4 linked regions of the Oryctolagus cuniculus genome follow. The main gene of each other region encodes a partner of the protein of the gene in region 3 in a complex. Links are inferred from orthologs where the notes say so. Each region holds a gene or a part of one and is shown on either strand. Other genes may lie near its edges.

Region 1 (5,468 bases), on a different chromosome or scaffold from region 3:
TCTACAAAAATGAAGTCCTTTCTCACCACCTCCATCCACCAAAAAATAAGAAAATAAAAGAAAACACAATCAATGCAATGTTTGGACTTACAAAAAGTGTTTCAGGAATAAAGATCTAATTTAATATGAGTGTGGAAAAGGAGATTTTTTTTTTTAACCCAGGCTTCTCAAACCCCCTCCCCATTCCAACTCAAAGAAAAAAAGCCCCATTTTGGAGGGAACAAGAGGCTAGGAATGGCTTAAAAGCAAGCAGATGGCTTAGGGAGAAAGATCCATACATACAGAGCACCATGAAAATTAAAATATAAATGTTTTGAGTTCCATTTCACCACATTTTGCTATTTCTCTTCCTTTTCACTTCATTCCCTTTAAAATTTAAACCATCCTCTCTAGAGCAAAAGAAAATCTATACATTGACAATTCCAGTTATTCTGAGTGTTTCTCACCAACACCACTTAGCTTTCAATTCAAATATCCAGAATTTTTCCATAAATCTACTGGGTTCTGCATACTTCTTTCTCCCAGTTCCCATCTCCAGAAAATGCTTCAGATTAAATAAGACTTCTTTTCCTTCTTCCAACTGTATGCCTGTTCACTCCTCACTCTAATTGCCTTTCCAGTAACAGTACTACAGGCATCTGAGGTTAATCAGAAGCTCTATAAACATAGTAACAAGCCATATTGATCATCTATTGATACAATAGTTCCAAGTTGCTTAAATACATCAAGCTCAACCACTGGACAGATTTCTATCTCTGGTTAAACTTTGGAGATCCTCTTAACCACCCCTCTAAAAGCAAAGCCACCCCCAAACACACCCCCTTCCCACTTAGAAAAAGAACTGCTTCCGAAGGGGGAAGGGGGATGGAAGCCTTCCAGGGGGCCACTGCCAACCCAGCCGGCAACAGCAGAAGACTCGGTACTGTCACCACGCTTGGGAAACTAGAGAAGGCTGTGCTTACACTTCCTTAGCCAGAGCTCAACTCGAGATTTCAGAGTTCAATGAAAGATGCGAAATCCGCCATGAATTCTCAGAAAGCACCCTGTTTGGCCCAAGGATAAGGAGTACGGGTGCGCGCAAGCCCGCGCGCGCGCACACACACACACCATTCATCCACGGAGTTCTAGATCCTCCAAAGAGCCCCAGCTCACAGCCCTAACACAAAGCTCTCACCCCAGATGGCCCCCTGGTAACAATGGGCTGCAGGAGCCGGGGTGGGGGCCGCCACAGGACAGGAGGGCCAAAGCATATTCTCAGGGAAAGCCAGTGGGGGTGGGGGTGGGGAGGGGGTGGGAGGAACTGGGGGCGGCAGTCTGTAGGAAGTCTCTGCCTGTTGCAGAAATATAAATAAAGGGTAAGGGAATTCTGCGGGGCGGGGGGGGGGGGTGGTGGTGCGCGGGGCAGACCTGTGTCTCCACCAGAGTGGAGTAGAAAGGGATCCCCTAAGTCCACTTCCGAACCACCCTGCCTGACGGAAAATGGGGCCTGCAGGAAGCCTGAACTAAGATTTTAAGCTTCCGCACCAAAATGGCCCCACACTTGAGGCAAGCCCCACGAGGTGCTTCCCTCTGCTTGATTCTCTCCCCTGTGAGTCTGCAGGTACCGCCTGTTTGCCCACCCCATCCCCAACTTCTCCTGCTTTTCCAAGCTGTAAACCACCCATGACAAGATCTCCAGTCTTGCCTCCCAGCCCCCAACATCCCGAGTCGAGGGATGAGAAGCCAACGCCAGGTCTCAGCCCCCGGGGACGCTGTGGACCCCCGACCACGGCCTCTCGCCAACCTCTGTCCCCTTCCCCCCGCCCCCCCAGAGAAGAGAAGCGCTCTTTCCTACCTTTGTTTTTTGGGAACCGAATGTTCAATTTCTAAGCGTTTTCCTTGTAATTCTACTTTTCCTAAAGATTAAAAAAAAAAATTAGCGTGAGCGCGTGAACAGGGGCAGGGGTGTTGAGGCAGGGGGCTCTCGGGAAATTCAAGTTCCTGGGACCCGATTTCTCCTCGGAAGCAAGTCAGTGGCGCCCGCAGCCGGATGCCATCAATTCGTTATTATGTTCTCTTAATTTCTGCTTTGCGTCACCACGGAGCTGGTGGCGTGAATCGCTAGGAGAACCCGAACCGGGAAAGGTTCGAGGTGATCTGTGCGGGCGCTCTACCCGTTCGGCTCCCAGATGTGCGGAGCCGCAGCCAGCAGAGAAAGGACTTCCCGCTGCTCGGGGAGGGGGGGTGCAGAATCAAACTTTATTTTACTGTGGCGCGTAGGACAAGGGCTTCGGGCGGCAGGGCGGTCACCTGTCGGGCGGGTTGCAACGCCGAGGCCCCGGGGGAGCCGCGCGGGGCCTGGCGGGGAGGGTCCCGCGCCGCGCGCCTCTCGGCCCAGCCTCGGCGTCTCGGTTAGCAGCATGGCGACCCGCGCCGCCGCGCCACCGCTCACGCCCCACTTTCAAATCAAAATGGCTCAAGCCCCGGGCCCTGGGCGGGAGGCGGGATCCCCTTCCTCCCCAGTCTTGCCCGAGGGCTGTGATCCCCACGGACGGCGGGGAGCTCGGGGATCGGGCGGGGACCCCTTCCGCGCCCGGGAAGGCCTAGGGTTAGGAAGGGAGCGAGGGTGCTCCAGCTGGGGGGCCGTCTGGCGGCTGCTAGGGAGGGGCTGAACATGCAGCGAGCGCCCAGACGGGGTCGTCTCGTGGCCCTCGGACCACCACCCACCCCCCGCCACCGCCGAGGGGGGCTGCAGCCCCGGCGATGGGAGTGGAGATTGAAGGGAGCCCGAGCAGCCCACCGAGGGTGGGGAAATCCCGAATATTCCCGGGAGGGGGCGGGGGCGTCGAAGGCGGCAGGTCGAGGGTCAGCGGCGAGGCCGGGCCCCGCATGCTCGCTGAACGAGCAGTTGGCGGCCGGGGCGGCGGAGAAGGGGGGGGTTCGGAACACAGGCCTCCGTTGTACGGGAACCGGCCCGGGGCTCGGGGAGGCGGCCCGCGCGCTTACCCGAGAAAGTTTCGATGGCCTTCATCGCCCAATGCTCGTCCGGGCAGTCCACGAAGGCGTAGCCGGATTTGACCAGGAACTGGCCGCTGTAGGAGATCTTGTGCTCCGCAAACACTTTCTCCAAGTCCGCGGGGGTCACGCTCTCGTTGAGGTTGCCGATGTATAGCTTGTTCATGGTGGCGGCGGCGGGGCAGGACGCGGTGCCGGGCGAGGCCGAGCGGGCGGGCGGGCGGCGAGCCGCCTAGGCCGAGCGCGGGGAGGCCGGCGGCGGCCGCAAACTTTGTGTGCACCCCGCCCGGGAGTGTGCCCGGAGCCCCGGGCGCGGAGGGCGGCAGGAGGGCGCGCGGAGGTCGCGGCGGAGTTCGGGGGAGCCCGGAAAGTGCCCGCGGCGCGCTGGGAGGCGGACGGCGCGGCGCTGCTCCTCGCCTTCGCTCCGAAACCCCTGCGAGCGGGCTGGCGTGTCACGTTTCTCCGCGGCCGCCCTGGCGCCGCCTCTAAATAAAACCGACTTGAAAAAAAAATGGAGCGGAAAAAAAAAAAAAGGCCGAAGCCACGTGGTGACAGCCCCCACCCACCCTGCAGGGGAAGACCCCCGACGCCACAGGGCCCCACTGCCCAGAAAACCCGGCCCGGCCCAACAGCTTCCCTCCCGGGGGCAGGGAGGGGGCACTCGGCTCACGCTCAGAGGGAACTGGGGCGGCGGCGGCGGGGGGTGGGTGTGCAACGCTCCCGAGGCTCTGCCCGCCCCCTCCCCCTTGGCAGGAACCTGGCCCCCGGGGATGCGCCCCGCCCCCACCCTTCCCCCTGCCTCTACCCCAGCCTGAACTGGGGGAGGGTGGTCGAGCCCCCAATCTCCCGTCTTTGGGGCGAAACGTGTGGTCATTTTTCCACTGGTTTTGGGGCGCGGGATTGCCTACCCCACCCGGTTAACTGCTAGCGACTGACAGGCGGGGGACGACCAAGACAGACAAAGAGAAGCCGGGGACTCTGGGGTCTTCAGGAGGGGGTCGCACGAGCCGGTGATTTCAAAAGAAAGGCGCCTTTTCCTTAGGTTTCGAAGCGGGGGCGGGGGAGGTCTTCCCTTCCCCGCCCCAGCCCCGCGAGCCTCCCCCACCTCTTGGGATCCAGGACCCGGGGCCCTGCGAACACGGGGGATCGCCGCGGGTTAGCAGGAGCTCACAGGAAATAGTGTTCCGGACACCCCTGGAGAAGCGCGGGCCCGTGTCGGGGTACTAGCCACTAAATGATAATGTTCGGGTTCCCGGGGGACCGCGCAGCTCCGGCTGGGACGACCCCAGGACCGAGGGAACCGGGTGGCAGCTCCGGCTAACCCAAGCGGACCGAGTAGGGGAGCGCAGGCGGGGTGCAATCGGGTGGAGACCCGAGCGGGCCCCCAGCCCCCCAAGGCGGGGGCAGACAGGTGGAGTCCCCTGCGCCCGCACCCTGCCCCGGGACGCCGCCACGACTCCGGCGGGCGCTGGGTTTGGGTCTCGGAACTTTGTTTGGGGCGCAGGATTCGGGAAGGCGGGAGAGGGGCGGAGGGCGGGGGCCCAGCGCGAAGCCCCGCCCACGTCCCCAGGTCAGACCCGCGGGGGGAGGGGGTAATTTCCGCTCCGCGCTGGGGGAAGCGAGGGGCGGGAGCTTCTGGGAGGGGGCGGCGGTCCCTCCCGCTCGCCCGTTCCTGGGGAGGGGGAAGCGGATCCGCCCAGATCCCTTCCCTCGTCTTTGACCAACTCGTTCCGGATCCGCGGGCTCGGGAGCCCGAGAGAAGGACTAGGCTGGGCGAGGGGCGACACGTGGGCGGTCGCACCCCGTCTGGGCAGTGGGGGAGGGGGCAGCTCTCCGCGCGCTTCAGAGTCCGGATCCGCGGTGGAGAGCGGGACGCGCGCCCCACGCGCACGCCCGGGATCCCCGGCCGAGCGGCGAGCGGAGGCGACGTTTCTGGCGGAGGGGGCTGGGATGGCGTCCGGGGGTGGCGGGTAGCGCGGCCCGCGGGCGCAGGAGAGAAGCGCGGGGGGTCGACCCTCGGGAATGCCGGGGTCCTCCAGAGCTGGGCGGAAGGTGGGGTGTTCCGGGGGGGTGGGGTCTGCGGGGGAGGTAGGAGACTAGTTCTGTCGGGGGCGCGTGCACGGCGAGGGCAGGTGAAGAAGGGGGTCCCCCCTTCCCGGGTCCCCGACCCCATTGTCTCAGTCGCCTGGGGCCCGGGCGACTCCGGAACACGTGTTGCCTACACCAACACGAACGCCCGGGGTTTGTATTGTTACTGCTGATCCTTGCAGAGTCTTAGAGCTGGCCCCGACTCGGGCTGCGCGCCCTCGGGCCGGGGGACCCACGGCCCCGAGGGTCGGGGGCGCCCGGACAGCACCCGGCGCCTCCGGCCCCCCTCCCGGTCTCCCCTGCGCGCGGAGCAGGACTGGCGCTGGGACGTGGGGGCGGGGGGCGGCCTCCGCCGGCTCCACCACCTTCAGAGCCCACCCTCCCAA
Region 2 (4,879 bases), on a different chromosome or scaffold from region 3:
CCTACTCTCAGGTTTTTCTTAAAATAAACTGGAAAACTTCATGACTCTAGTTCATTCTGTTTTATTAATAGCCACTCATTCAAGATATCTTTTCTATAGAAGCAGTAACTTCTCAGTGAAAATGATTTCATAATATCTTCACCTATATAAACAGATTAAAAAAATACACAGGATTTAAGGGGATCAAATCAACTCAAATATGACAATATCTTAAAAACTACCATTCTAGAGCTATGAGGATTACACAAATTTATGCCTGTGGTGTAAGCTGCCTGGCACCTAGTAGGTGTTCAATAAATGGCAAATAGTTCTGCTCCACAAGGTGCAGACATTAAGTTGATCTGGACATGACCAGCAGAGGGCGCTCCCAGTACTATGAGGTTTGGTCAGCGGCCTTTTGGTCTTTAATCCAAAAGGCCTCTTAGATTTTCCTAGCAAGCCCTAAATCCATTAGACTAACATTTACTATATTATATTATCTCCCTTGATTACACAAGTAATTAAGCATGGTGGTGGCGTTTCTTAATGATAACTGATATTTAGAAATTTAATAGACGTGCAAGTAATTTTGGGTAGTGAAAAGTAAAATGCCAAGTTTTAAAGGTCACACAGGATGTGAAAGCACAAAATTCCCAAGACCTTTCCTCCAGCCTGTACGGTGGCAAGCAAGAGTAAAATGTATTAAACATCAAAATTATCAAAATATTTTATTTTGAAAAAAAAATTTAGTATCATGGTCTCAGACTGGCTTATCCAAATCCAATGACCACTAATAATCACGCTCTTTAGTTCATACACAATAACAGCCTACAAAGGCCAACCACTTCTGTCCTCTATTATTTTACTTCTATTCTATTTAATTCTAGTCTAGTATGAAGTTCAACACAGAGATAAATGTTCTTAGGGAGTAGTGTCACACTCCATGGCTGCAATTTCATAAATCTAGGTTGATCCTGACTCACTAGTGGACCTCAGAACTCTACAAAAACCGGGTCACTGTGAGCTTGATTCTAGGTTCAAGGTCTCTGCGAGGGATCTTTATTCCTTCTTCAAAATCCTACAAAAGCTCTACACAAGTCCTTTTAATAACTGCAGCAGAAAAATATAGCCCAACTGACATATTAGCAAGCATAACTTAGAGGAAAAGTTACTCTTTAATCCCTAATAATTATGATACACTTACTATTCACAATTCTTACACATGACATCACAATGAAATATGTATTATCATCATTCCAACTTTACAAATGGGGAATCTGAAACAAGGACACAAACATCACACTACCAAGAGTGGGAGGAAGGGTTCAAACTCATACCCTCAACTACCACCCTGTGCTTCTGTACAAAGGATCTTCAAAAAGTTCATGGATAATGTGTATTATTTTTTTTTTATTTAAGACCTTTATTAGCAGGTGCTTGCAGTTTGTTGACTTTTTTGAAAAAATCAAGTTGTAAACTTTTATTACAAATTAAAAATGAAGTTCTTAAAAATCTCAACTTGACCAGATATGAAACAATTTAAAAACCTTTAAAGGTGTATTGAGAAAAACCAGGCTTTTTTAAAAAACACGTTTGTCGTTACCAAAAAGAGACATCTTTAGGTAAAAATAATAAAAACCCCATGCTGCATAGATAATGCAGATAGTTCTAGTAATCTGGTCAATGGGCAAAAAGCAAGCACTTAAGGTCTTCAGCTCCAATCTTTTGTTCATTTCTTATTGCTGGAATTTCATATTCATTTCTTCTTGTTGGATGACTAAACCGGATGATGGTAGAGATGTTAAGCCGGCATTTACTCAGCCCCGCCCTGCTCAGCCTCGGGAGCGGACGAATTCTCAGCTGGTGGATCGGCTGCTTTTGTCTCTTTGCCATCTTGTGGTTTAGGGTTATCTGGGCGTCTGCGTCAGTAGTTGAAGTTGCGGCGGTACCAACGCTGAGGTGGCTGCTGACCCTGGGTCTCATCTCCTTGGTTTTCCTTGTCTTCTTCATTGCCGTCCTCTCTAGGCTGTCTTTGGCGAGGAGGACCTCTGCGGAATCGTGGTCTATAACCCCGATACATATTCTGTCTCACTGGTCTACCTTGTTCTCCTGCACCCTGGTTGTCAGCACCTTCCATCACTTCTCCCTGCACAGGAGGGTTGGAATACTGTGGTCGACGCCCATAGGGTCTCCGCATGTAGTAAGGTGGGAACCTTCGCCTGCGGTAGGGCCGGCGTTGTTGGGCCTGGCCTTCGGGAGCGCTCTCCGATCCCTCATTCTTTTCCCCACTCTCACTATTCTGGTAATTCTGCTGGTAATTGCGTGGAGGACCCCTACGACATGGGTAGCGTCTATAATGGTTACGGTCTGCTGCATATTTACTGCCTTGCACTGGAACTCCACCAGGACCTGTAACATTTGCTGCCTCCGCACCCTTTTCTCCTTCAACAACATCAAACTCCACAGTCTCTCCATCTCCTACACTGCGAAGGTACTTCCTGGGGTTATTCTTCTTTATGGCAGTCTGGTGTACAAATACATCTTCCTTGGTGTCATTCCTGTTGATGAAACCATATCCGTTTCTTACATTGAACCATTTTACTGTTCCCAAAACCTTCGTTGCGATGACCTTCTTGTCCCCGCCGGCGGGCGCCGCCAATGTGAGGCTGCCCAGGCCACCGCTCCCTGCGCCGCTGCCCGTGGTGCCGGGCTTGGTTTCCACGGCGCTGAGGGCGGGGGCGGCGGGCGGCTGCTGGGTCTCGGCCTCGCTGCTCATAGTTGCGGTGATGGTGACTGGGGCCGGCTGCGGCAGCTGAGGCTCCTCCCGGGGTGTGATGGTAACTAGGCCGGCGGTGGCGGTGGGGCTGCTCAGGGCTCTCTGGGGTCCGCTCTCCGCTCCCGCTACCGATCGAACTATGTGTATTATTTTTAAAAACATGCATTTCAAACATGTTTGTACCCAGATACTTCTCTTTAAATTCCACTTTCCATGAACTTTGAGGTTGCCTCATACAATGATTTATCTTTAGTGCTCTTCCATTTTAAGTATCAAAATATCAGCATTATTAATAATCCTACACAACATTAATTCTATTTCTAAATAATCTACTACTGTTTCAGCCTACTGTCGCTCCCCCTCTTCATGGAGGAACGACACTAAACCCTGCCTAGGCTTCATATCCGAGTCACGGCACCATTATGTCGCTCCCCGTCTTCGTGGAGGAACGACACTAGACCCTGCGCTGTTCTTTTGTCTGCTCGGCCCTCCCCGGGTTTGCTGCTGGTTCTTCCCAGGTTGGCTACCGTCCCTCCCACCTCCGTGGAAGGGCGGTTCCCCCTGCCACTTTCCCCACTTCCGCGGGGGAGCAGCACACCGCCAGCCGGCTCTCTCGGGGGCTGCACAGGTGTTCCTCTTAGATGTTCCTGGTGCATGTTGTCTCTCTCCTCCTTTATAGTCCTCTTCCACCAATCCCAACTCTGCTACCCACACGCCGAGTATGCTGCTCTCCTCCAATCAGGAGCAGGTCCTGCTGTTTATTGGTTGAACTGGAGGCAGCTGAGTAGAAGCTGTTTACTCCTCTCCCAGCGCCATATTGTGGGAGAGCAGATGCATAGAATAAGTCTTAATTCCAGTAACAGTCTAGTCTGAGTTGCTCCCCACAGATCCCCCTTTCTTTTTATTTTTTGGCGTTGATACGCGCCTGTCTTCGGTGCCCCGTGGCACACACTCTGCTCTGCTTGCTGGAGTTGCCCACAGGTTCTTACAAGTCCTATCAATCAGGCAAACCGAATCCGGGTCCTCTCTTCGCCATGTTGTGAGGTTTTTAGGCGCTGATGCGTGCCTGTGTTCGGTGCCCTGCAGCGCATGCTCTGCTCTGCTAGAACTGCCTGCAGGTGCTTACAAGCCCTACCAATCAGGCAAACCGAATCCAAGCCCTATCATCGCCGTCTTGTGGGGAGACTTATTGGTGTTGATAACGTGCCTGTCTTCGGTGACATGCAGCCGCTCACAGGTGCTTATCGTCTTACTAATCAGGCAGACCGAATCCAAGCTCTCTCATTGCCGTGTTGTGGGGAGGCCTTTCTATTTCTCTATCTCCAGGCATTCCTATTTCTCCTATTTTACTTCTATCTGCCAGCATTCCTATTTCTCTCATTTTACTTCTATACTTCTATTTCTCTTATCCCTGCGGCATCCCGGCGCCCGCCCCGAGGCTGCTTCTTGGCACCTTGCCCCGCAGCGGCTTCCCGGCTCTGTGCCACTTCCCGGCTTCGCGCATGCTCCGCGGTCTCCGCTCCCCTTCACACCCGTACCACAGCCTTGCGCTAGCCCCACGTTCCCTATCTATTCGTGCCCCGCACGCTCTCTCTGCGCGCGGCAGCTTCCGCAAATCACACAGCCTAGCTCACGTTTCCGCCACCGGTATTCAGTCTAAGTTCCCTGGGCTAACTTGGCGAATTCAACCTAGCTCACGTCTGCGCCTTTCGGTTTGGCTTCCCGTCTTTTGCTCCCCGGGCTAATCTGACGGATTCCAACCTGGCGGCCCACGTCTCTGCCTCTGGTTCCAGATTTTCGCCTTTTGCTCCCTGGGCTGACTTGAAGAATTCCAAGCTAGCTTACGTCTCCACCTCGGCCTGCCCCTGCGGCTTCATCCTCCCTAACATTTTTCTCTACCCGGTATGTTTCCTAACTTTTCTTCCAACAATATTCCCCTTTCATTTCTCCTGGCTTCTCCCCACAGTCCGTATCCAAGTTTGTTTGTTCTAGCTTTCACTTTCGCTTTCAACCTTAGAGATTTCTCCCAGCTTCCCCTCGTAGTCCGTATCCGAGTCTATGCCTAGGCTTTCAATAGCTTCTTCCGGCACCTTTTCCGTCCGGCTTTTCCCTAGGCTCTTCTAG
Region 3 (4,956 bases):
TGTGCCACGTTCTCCCTGAACATGTAACCTGTAGACCTAAGACACCTAGATGTACGTGGGCCTCTCGTATAGATGGCTTGAGCAGTTGGCACTCACGTGGCCTGGTCAGATCCTGCTGAGTATTTTGCATTGATGAATTGGCTTCATGTTTCTAAATAGAAACCCTTGGAGTAGGAAGTGGTAATTGCTCTGATTGTCAGACAAGCCTGTAGCTGGGAAGTGGTGAGTGTGTCCACTGTTTAGTATGTTGCCAGCTTGGCAACCTGCAGAGTCAGGTCCCTGATGGCCATTCACAACAGACCTCCCAAGCAGGCCCAGCTCTCTGGAGAGGGTCCCTGCGTCAGTGGCTGTGTGTCTTAGAATTAACCTCTTCTTTGTATTCAGGCAGAAAGTGAAACTGTTCACTGCTCACAACAACATGACCAACTATGCCACGGTGTGGGCGTCCAAAACAAACCTTGAGCAGCGGAAAGGGCGAGCTGGCCGTGTGCGGCCTGGATTCTGCTTTCACCTCTGTAGCCGAGCTCGTTTTGAGAGGTGAGACCAAGTGTTGAATGAAGATTGAGGATTTGTTTTTAACCCTTCATGCATCTTCACTGCACATAGCCCCTGGTTTCCTCTGCACTTTGCCATGAACTTAGTGAATTCAGGGTATAAATGCCTCCAGGTAGTGCCTTAGAGGACGTTCCCTGAGAAGTACAGGCATTATTTGAATAAGGAGACTAAATTTTGAGCTCACTTCACCAAGACTACTTCAGAGCCAGGATTGAAACCCAAGTCTCAGTTACATTCAGAGCCTATGAGGCTTCTTGGGGGAGGTGTGTGGATGGGCCAGTTGGCTAAAGATACCCTTTGTACATTAAAGGTGAAAGTAGAGTTGTGTCTGGGGGGTCTTTGTGCTATACACTTGATAATAAAGGGGAGAGTTTGGGGCTTGTATTAATGCGCACGGGAAAGTACGATGTGGCAGAAAATTACTTCAGTGCCCAGGTATACATGGTATGCAGAGGAAAAATCAGATTCGGTAACATCAGACTCCCTTGTAATTCTAAGTACTCTTACGTAGCTGTAGATGAGCATTAGAAGTTAGGAAATTGGCTGCAGCATTTGGAATACGTTTAGTTCTTTGTAAACATTGGCTATTCACTTGCACTGAAGAAACAAATACTGTTTGACATCTTAGAGTAAAATCGCCTACTAATTAGTAACAATGTGAGATTTTTGCTCTTTTGTCTATAGTGGGAAGAGCAGATATGCTACTTTTGTAGACTTGAATTAAGCTGATCTGTCTTGCCAGCAATGTTGGAATTAACCCATGAATCTTCGTTGTGAGTAGTTTATAGGAAATGAGCCTGGATTAGAAGTGTACAGACCTAGATTTTAATACTGTCTATGCCTAATACCGATACATGGCATAATCCTAAATATTTAAATTCTTTAGGACTTTGTTTACCCCTCCCATAAAATGAGACTACATTACCTGGCCTGTCTCTGTGTTCTTAGTCATGAGAGGATGAGAGTAATGCCTAATCTATCTATAAGATTGGTGTGAAAAAAAAGTGAGTTAATAATGTCAAATTCACACAGCAGTGCCTGGCACAAAGGAAATTCTAACATTATAATAACTTGTATTTGAATTTTAAAAGGTTAGTTGATCTGTAAGACCCTTCCCAGTAGCACTAAAAGTTACATAGACAGAAAGTCTTGCTGCTGTTTTAACCAGTGTTTGTCAACAGACAAGAGACCTGAGGAAGCTATAGGTAGTGACATTAGGGGAATGGATCGTCTCTCCAGCCTTCCTTCAGTTGAGAGTACCACCAGGCACTAAGTCAGAATCAGCTGAAATCTTGTCCAGAGAATGTCTGCATGTTTAATTATGAAAGATGGAGAAAGGGCAGATCTTTGTATCCATCATTCCCTTGCGAAGCCTTTATTAATATCTGCATATGCAAAAAGGATGTTTCTTCTGCTCCTTCCCCAGACTGGAAACCCACATGACACCAGAGATGTTCCGGACACCACTGCATGAAATTGCCTTGAGCATCAAGCTTCTGCGTCTCGGAGGAATCGGCCAGTTTCTGGCTAAGGCGATAGAGCCCCCGCCCCTGGACGCTGTGATTGAAGCGGAGCACACTCTGAGAGGTGTGTGCACTCAGACCTGTGCCTGAGGACCCCACGCAGCACGTCAGGGGGCTGTGAAGGGAGGGCTTTCAGTGTCACTTCATGTGCTCAGTCAAGCCATCATTACAAAGAAAACTTAAGAATGGGATAATGTTCTCATTTTGGGGGAAAAATTAAAAGGGAAAAGGTAAGGCATTATCTCTTAACTAGTACTTAAAGATCAGAATATCGTGATGCCCATAAAATTTTATATGCATCTCTTAGAACATTTATTTATGTCTTATCAGAAACAGTATACGAAAATACAAGGGTATTGCAGCCAAATGCTTCTGAATTTCAGTTCACCTGCCGTGTGAACTTCAGGTTTTGCTTTTGCAGATTTCTTTTCTTTCTCTAAAAATCATCACGAGATGGGTGTCAGACTTTGAGGCACGTAGGTACTTGCAGTGCTGTTACAATTAGCACCATTACAGACTTCTCACGGCATGTCCTTCATGCAGGGCGCTGCAGAGTTGGGTTCTACTCCGTTTGTGAGGAGAACTGTGGGCTGCAAGCATGGTGTTGGCGGTCAGGCTGACCGGTGTGAGGTCCTAAGTGCAGCGTCGGTGCCCTAACAGTCCACAAAGAAGGCTGCTGCCTGTCTAGGGCCAAGGATGTTTGTTATGACCTCTGCTCACAAGGAATTATCTCCCCGCAGAGCTGGACGCACTAGATGCCAATGATGAGTTGACTCCTCTGGGACGGATCCTAGCTAAACTCCCTATTGAGCCTCGTCTTGGCAAAATGATGATCATGGGGTGTATTTTCTAGTAAGTATGTTGTTTTATTGCTGACAGTTAAGTGACAGAAAGTTTCAGAATCAAAACCCTCCCCCCATAAAAGCAAGATGGGCTCAAGTAGAAGAAACTCAGGCTTCAGAAGTAAAGAAAAGCACGCTGTGAGATAAGAAACGGGACTTGTTCCCTTGTTGCTCATCTCAGGAGCTGGGGTGTCTCTTGGAAGAAAATAGTCTTAGGAAAAGAGGTGTGGGTGTGTGTGCATACAATTTTTTTTAGAGATGTATTTATTTGAAAGAGTTAGAGGAAAGGAGAGACAGATCTCCCAGTGGCTGCAGTGCTGAGCCAGGCCGAAGCCAGGAGCGTTGCCCAAGTCTCCATGCAGGTGCAGGGGCTCAAGCACTCTGGCTGTTCCTCCTGCTTTCCCAGGCGCTTCAGCAGGGAGCCGGGTGGAAGCGGAGCAGCTGGGGCTCGATCGGCGCCCACATGGGATGCTGGAGTTGCAGGTGGTGGCCTAACCCATTCTGCCACAATGCCAGCCCCAAAGAGAGTTATTTTACCACAGCATTTGGAAGGTGAGAAAATGGAAAAGGACTAGGAAAGGAAGAATATAGTACTTGGTCATAGTTTATGGTAGATAGGTGGCCATCAGCTCCAGAGTTGATTGTCCCCTTCTGCTCTGAGGAGAGCAGCTGTAATGTTCCCTCACTCATCAAAGCCGAAAGACTCCAGTCCACGTTTGCCAGTCCTGCCTCACCTCTTGTGAACGTGTGTGTGTTGCAGTGTGGGAGACGCTGTCTGCACCATCTCTGCTGCTACCTGCTTCCCAGAGCCTTTCATCAACGAAGGAAAGCGGCTCGGCTACATCCATCGGAATTTTGCTGGGAACAGATTCTCTGATCACGTGGCCCTGTTATCGGTATTCCAAGCCTGGGATGATGCCAGGTATGGGCTTGAGCTTTGGGTGAACTAGCTCTAGTTTCTAATTTGTACCTAGATCTCTGGTCTTTGAGAATGACCCCCTTAATGTCCTAATTTATTTTAGAATGAGTGGAGAAGAAGCAGAGATACGTTTTTGTGAACACAAAAGACTCAATATGGCTACACTGAGAATGACTTGGGAAGCCAAAGTTCAGCTTAAAGAGATTCTGATTAATTCTGGATTTCCAGAAGGTAATTTTCAGAATATTTTCAAAGTGACATCGATGTACTATGTGCACATTAACATGTATTTCAACTTCAGACTTTAGATCCTGTGGTTTTTCTGTGTTTCTAGCCTTTAGTACTTTGTGGTGATAACAGTTTTTTTACATTAAGTCTTTTAAAAAAGGAGGTAAAAGGTTTTCATCCTGAAAGAGTTTGAGAAATGGTGTATCAGTTTGCCCCATGTTCATTTTTAGACTTGACGTGGATTCTCCCATGTTCAGTGGCTTGAACTGAATTTCTGTGTGTAGATGGTTCTAGATGTTCCGTGCCTTAGAAATAGAGACAGTGGTCCAATTCTTCATCTCTTGATGGGAGCTGGAACCATATACTTTAATTGGCAAAATCTTTACAGTGGTCCTGGGTACAGATATTGTCCCAATTTAAAAGATCATAAAACCAACATAGAAGTTCACAGTTTTAAGCTTTATTCAGTGAGGACATTGTAAGATTTCGTCTCAGGCTGAGCTAGAGCAGAATCTGCGCAGGCCTTGGCGCTCGTGTTTCCAGATGCGGTGCTCATGAACTGTAGTTGGACTTGGACGCGCCTGCCTCCATTCCGGTGGGTGTCCTTTGCTGCGTCTCTCCATCTGCACACGCAGCAGTTTAAGAACAACAAATACATTGACCATTGACCTTGGTCCTGCTGGTCACTCAGAGTAGGTGGCTGGCGAGGGATTGTGTTACAAGTTACCACCCCAAGCCTAGGTTTATGGTTGAATCAGTAAGGGAATACAGACATTTAGTTTTCTGATTATGGAGACTCGGCAAAATTTCCTCTTGAGCTTAATCTGGGTACAAGGCTTCTGAGAAGAAAAAGGCTTCTAGACAGATCAGTTCTTTTATTCTTGTGTAG
Region 4 (4,956 bases), about 64 Mb from region 3:
AATAAACTTTCCAAGACACTGTGGGGCTCTCTGTAACAGTGTGTTCAGTTTTCCAGTATCTGCCATTTGCTTCTTAAAACCTGCCACCTAGTTTTAGAAGTTAAAAAAAAAAAAGGCAAGTTAACATTTACACAAATGTTGCCCTTTCCCATTATTTCTACCAAAAAATAGCCACTTTATCAAGCACCCTATTCTGTTCCAGTCTTAGCAGCTAAGAGCTTAAAAAAAAAAAAAAAAAAAAACTATGGAGATCAGAAGCCTAGTCCGCTGGAAGAAGTTTACCTTAACTCCTAAGAGCTTAAATAACCAATCTGGAGGCCCACACTGTGTGTTTGGCTCTGCTGCCCGCGAGGCTAGAATCCCACATGGGCAGCAGTCAGCGGCCTACTTCGAGTCCAGCTCCCTGCTGATATCCTAGGAAAGCAGCCAGATGGCCAAAGTGTTTGGGCCCCTACACCCACTTGGGAGATCGGAGTGAAGTTCCTGGCTCCCGCCTGGGCCTGGCCCAGCCCCAGCCATGGTGGGAGCCATCTGGATAATGAACTTGTCGATGGAAGAGAGCACTCCCCCCTCTCTAACTCTGCCTTTCACATAAATAAACTAATTTGACTTTGTTCAAATTTGTATCTCTAAGGTACCAAAATGAAAGATAGCAACAGGCAAACAAGAGCCTAGAGAACCTTGTAGTTTATTTGAAAAGCTGAGATCAGTTCCTAAACATCTTACTTACCATCATTTTATCCATAATGGTATTTGTGCCAAGAATGTTGTATTTCCCAGGATTCTCAGCTGCATGCTTAGTAACCCAGGTAGTTTTTCCAGCTCCTGGCAAGCCAATCATCATCACAACCTGTGCAGCAAAGAAACATTAATTCACTGTCTCATCCTTACAAGTTAACTGTAAGTCTCTCTGGTTATTATCTAGGAATTCAGCAATCCAGTCTCATAGACCCAGGAAGACAACTTGAGAAAGTTTAACACTCCAACGTTAAAGGAACTATTAAGTACTACATTTGGGAAAAAGCAAATGAAAACACAACACTCATCCGTATCTGTCACTTTTTTATCAACCAAAAGCGATCTTTCACATGCCACAGCTGAAAATAAAAATCGCTTACCTCACAATCCTTCTTCTCTTCAGGGCCCTTAGGTCCTCTAACCCGGTCCTCTAAGGGGACATTCTGGATGAAAGTATATTCTTCAGGTATTGGAAAATATGGCTTTTCCTTCTGACCAAAATTAAATTCAACTGCACAGTTGTGGCAGAGAACATGCGGGAACAGTGGCCGTCCAGCAAGAACTTCTTTACTGATTTTGAAGGCAACGCCAAGCTCCTGTCCATTCTTAGCGTAGGAGAGTTCTACTTCATCACTTTCAAAATTCTGTTCAAACAGAAAAACAACTTTAATCTACTTCCTATAGGCTTTCTGAGAAAATGCAAAAATTCATAACTGGGAATGACTTTTAATCTTGTGGTAAACATTAAATGTTAAGAACTTTGATAGCTAAACACTGAAGCACAAACAGTGCCCTAGAAAGTGAGCTACACTTTCAAAATTCATCTGCTTTGTTTCTCAAAATTTTTATTTTTCCTGATAACTAATGAAATCTTAACCTTGTTGATCACAGTGAAGGCTGAATTATGCAGCCCTGACTTACAGCAAAACAGGTGATCACATCATTTTCATCAAACTTCTCTCCATAATCTTCAGTCTCACAGTTGCATGTTTTTATTCCTTTCAGAGAATACCCATAAGAAAATTCTTCTTCACCTAAAAAAGTAATTTTCATGAAGTAAATATTTAAAACAATCCAAAGACCCGCCTGGTTTACTATTCAAAATATAGGATGTAATAGAAACTAAGCAAAAGTAGTCTTCAAAAGTTCACAGAAAATGTGTATTACCAAAAAGCTGCATGCATTTCAGGAGTTTTTGCACTGGAATAGGTAATTCCAGTATTACATGAAGTTTTCATAAGTAGCTTAAATAACCTAAGAATCCATCATTGGCATTCAGTTTTAACTACCTCTACACTAGATGTAAAAATTGATGAAGGCTAACTGGACCTATTACAAAATAAAATTTGTGGACAAACTGCATGTCTTGTATACAGGGGCCAACCCTGTGGCACAGGTTAATCCCCAGCCTGCAGTGCCAGCACTTCATATGGGCTCCGGTTCTAGTCCCGGCTGCTCCTCTTCCAATTCAGCTCTGCTACAGCCTGGAAAAGCGGTAGAAGATGGCCCAAGTGGGAGACCTTGTTAGAAGCTCCTGGCTCCTAAGCTTCAGATCAGTCCAGCTCCAGCTGTTGCTGCCATTTGGGGAGTGAACTGGTGATGTTAGACCTTTCTGTCTCTCCCTCTGTCCACAACTCTACCTCTCAAATCAAATCTTTAAAAAGGCTCCTCCTTAATGCACAGGAAAAATGTCCCAAGTTCTTGCACCCCTGTCACCCATGAGGGAGACCCAGAAGAAGCTCCTTGTTTCTGGCACTGGCATGGCCCAGCCCCAGTCATGGCGGCCATTTAGGGAGTGAGCCAGCGGATGGAAGATCTCTTCTCCCCCTCTAACTCTACCTTTCCAAAAAATAAATCAGTCTTTAGAAAAAAAAGTATGCTGCTCAAGCCATTAGTCATAACTCAAACAACCATAAAGGAACAAAAGCAAATTTAGACTCTGCCTACTGTTACTATTCTCTAAAACAGAATGAAAATAACAAGAAAAGGTTTTGAATGCCTGCAGATAGTTAATGAAATCAGACATTCATGAACTTGCAGTACTCAATGTAAACTTTACCTAGCAACATTCCACTTGTGGTTAGCGACCAGCCAATCCGAACTTCATGTATGTCTATATCTTTTGTATATAAATGCCTTACAGGTATCTTCTCTGTAACCTGAAAGTTAAGTCATTATATCATTAACTGTAAACCAAGGTAGGTAGGTTATTTATGTGCCTGGTTTATCTCACTTGGGCTATGGGTACCTAAAATTCTTCTCTAGCTATTTATACAAAGACAGGACACCCAACTCTACCCCACTCCCAGTATTTTCCAATTGATGTAAGGGCTTATAACTTAAAATTAAATACTTGGTTGATTTAGATTTTTAGAACAATATTTTTAAATTACATTCTCAATTGATGTTTTTCTCATAAAACCAACACTCTAACCAAAAGAAATTTTAACTCTTTGGTGGCCCTTTTCAAGGGCCTCATATAATGGAGTGCCCTAAATAATGTATGGGCTGGCTCTATAGGGCAAATTCTGATAAATAAACTTGCTTCACTATTACAAAATGAAGGTTCCAGAAACCTCACAACATTGCATTTACCTTCATCTCAAAACAGACTTTGCCTTTTGACACACCATAAGATGCCCTTCCTCCAGCCCAAAGAAAGGCAAAGCTCTCCATAGTAAGCGAAGAAGCACTGAGGCGATCTCTTGATATTTTAAAATGTAGATCACAATTATCTGCAATTATATTAAATACCATATTATTCTTTTGACATCCAATGGAAATCTATTTGCTATGTAGACAAAACTTGGATGTTAAATTTTTTTCATGTACTTCTTAATGCTGCAGAAAACAGTTTTTAACACCATGCTGTTTTCCCAATTTTCCGTGTAAGCCCCACTCCCACCATTCTTATCAAATTAAGTACTAAAGAGTAAACTGCCTATAAACTAAGGCTTAATGTCTTTAAGAATATAAAACAAGACATGTGACATGGATACATACCTGCTCTGCTCTTTACCTTGATTTAGAGGCACGCAGTAGAGGATAGCAGGAAATCAAAGTGAAGCATGCCAGAACCAGGTAGAATTTACCAGTGCCACAATAAAACTGAAGGGAGGCCACGGCCAAATATTTGAACATAGGAGTATGAGCTGTTGATCCCGTACTTTAACACTAGGCTCCTAAGTCCTAAATTATTTTCTAAATCTTAGGAATAAGGCAAGGCAGCCTCAACTTGGAATATACAAATCTGGTCTTCTAACACTGTCAATATTACAGCATTTTGGTCTTGTGTATTTGTGTATTAGCAACAATTAAGGATTAAGCTCTTAATCAGGTCATCCAAATCCAAAGCATCTTTAATCTAGCTACCTCTGGGTCACGTGAGGGACAGCTAAAGTCAAGGTAGAAAGCTGGCTCTTTTCCTTTTTACAGGACAGGAAACCTACAGTTCGGAACTTTTAAATTAGCTTTGCTCCTGAAATTCCTGATCACTGATAGAACTATGATTTCAAGAAGCTGTTGTTGCTCCTGTAATCAGTGCTTCAGCATCTTGGTAACTGCTAGTAACTTGAAGCAACTGATTTTGACATCAAAATTTCAAGCCACCTTTTCCATATGCATTTTTTTCCCAAAGACTCAACTCTTAACTACCTGTACAGGGTATTCAAGTAAGAAATCAGAGGTATCACCATTTATCACCTGAATCAACAATCTGTACAAGGAAGCATCCGAATCTAACTTCCGCCTTACCAGAGCAACTTGACATTTTAACTTTTCAAGTACGATTTCTACTCTTGGTTCTATTTCACACTGGAAAGACTGGTGCATCCTATTCTGATCAAACGCTAACCCAACGTAATTTAAGTAAAATCTGACAGCCACGGCCCATTTAAAGGTTTGCAATAATTCCGCATACTCGATTGCAACCCAACTGGGTAACGTAGTATTTACAGTGCTGCCATTGATACCATTCGCTGCTGAAGAAAGCTAGTGGCCCAGTGATGGCCCACTGCTGCTGCCCCAGGTCTTTGGAAGAAATCAACTTATGTTAAAGCAGCAGCTACTGAACTGGAATTGAGAACAAAAGAGCAGTTATTGAAATAGTATTACAGTCTTTTAGAATAGGGAATATACTTGAGTGCTAATGGGAAAAGTCATCAGTTAAGTATTTAACCAGCCCAAGTAGCTGACTTAACAATCCCAAAATAAAAGGAA

The links.
Region 1: DHX9 (region 3) and IGF2BP1 share a complex: the UniProt entries of both Homo sapiens proteins name them as parts of the coding region determinant (CRD)-mediated complex. The link is inferred for Oryctolagus cuniculus from reciprocal best matches to the Homo sapiens genes DHX9 and IGF2BP1.
Region 2: DHX9 (region 3) and Y-box-binding protein 1 share a complex: the UniProt entries of both Homo sapiens proteins name them as parts of the coding region determinant (CRD)-mediated complex. The link is inferred for Oryctolagus cuniculus from reciprocal best matches to the Homo sapiens genes DHX9 and YBX1.
Region 4: DHX9 (region 3) and HNRNPU share a complex: the UniProt entries of both Homo sapiens proteins name them as parts of the coding region determinant (CRD)-mediated complex. The link is inferred for Oryctolagus cuniculus from reciprocal best matches to the Homo sapiens genes DHX9 and HNRNPU.

What each region holds. Positions count from the first base shown.
Region 1 is NC_091448.1:25,184,500-25,189,967, reverse strand, and holds the start of IGF2BP1 (insulin-like growth factor 2 mRNA-binding protein 1), read right to left. Parts: upstream 3,548-5,468; 5' UTR 3,161-3,547; coding exon 2,986-3,160; intron 1,896-2,985; coding exon 1,835-1,895; intron 1-1,834. UniProt on the Homo sapiens protein: RNA-binding factor that recruits target transcripts to cytoplasmic protein-RNA complexes (mRNPs). This transcript 'caging' into mRNPs allows mRNA transport and transient storage.
Region 2 is NC_091434.1:59,356,122-59,361,000, forward strand, and holds Y-box-binding protein 1, read right to left. Parts: upstream 2,933-4,879; 5' UTR 2,918-2,932; coding exon 1,904-2,917; 3' UTR 1,382-1,903; downstream 1-1,381. UniProt on the Homo sapiens protein: DNA- and RNA-binding protein involved in various processes, such as translational repression, RNA stabilization, mRNA splicing, DNA repair and transcription regulation.
Region 3 is NC_091444.1:1,071,952-1,076,907, forward strand, and holds part of DHX9 (ATP-dependent RNA helicase A), read left to right. Parts: intron 1-384; coding exon 385-537; intron 538-1,981; coding exon 1,982-2,142; intron 2,143-2,818; coding exon 2,819-2,930; intron 2,931-3,680; coding exon 3,681-3,842; intron 3,843-3,942; coding exon 3,943-4,070; intron 4,071-4,956. UniProt on the Homo sapiens protein: Multifunctional ATP-dependent nucleic acid helicase that unwinds DNA and RNA in a 3' to 5' direction and that plays important roles in many processes, such as DNA replication, transcriptional activation, post-transcriptional RNA regulation, mRNA translation and RNA-mediated gene silencing.
Region 4 is NC_091444.1:64,891,194-64,896,149, forward strand, and holds part of HNRNPU (heterogeneous nuclear ribonucleoprotein U), read right to left. Parts: intron 3,474-4,956; coding exon 3,334-3,473; intron 2,898-3,333; coding exon 2,798-2,897; intron 1,773-2,797; coding exon 1,660-1,772; intron 1,383-1,659; coding exon 1,119-1,382; intron 851-1,118; coding exon 731-850; intron 88-730; coding exon 1-87. UniProt on the Homo sapiens protein: DNA- and RNA-binding protein involved in several cellular processes such as nuclear chromatin organization, telomere-length regulation, transcription, mRNA alternative splicing and stability, Xist-mediated transcriptional silencing and mitotic cell progression.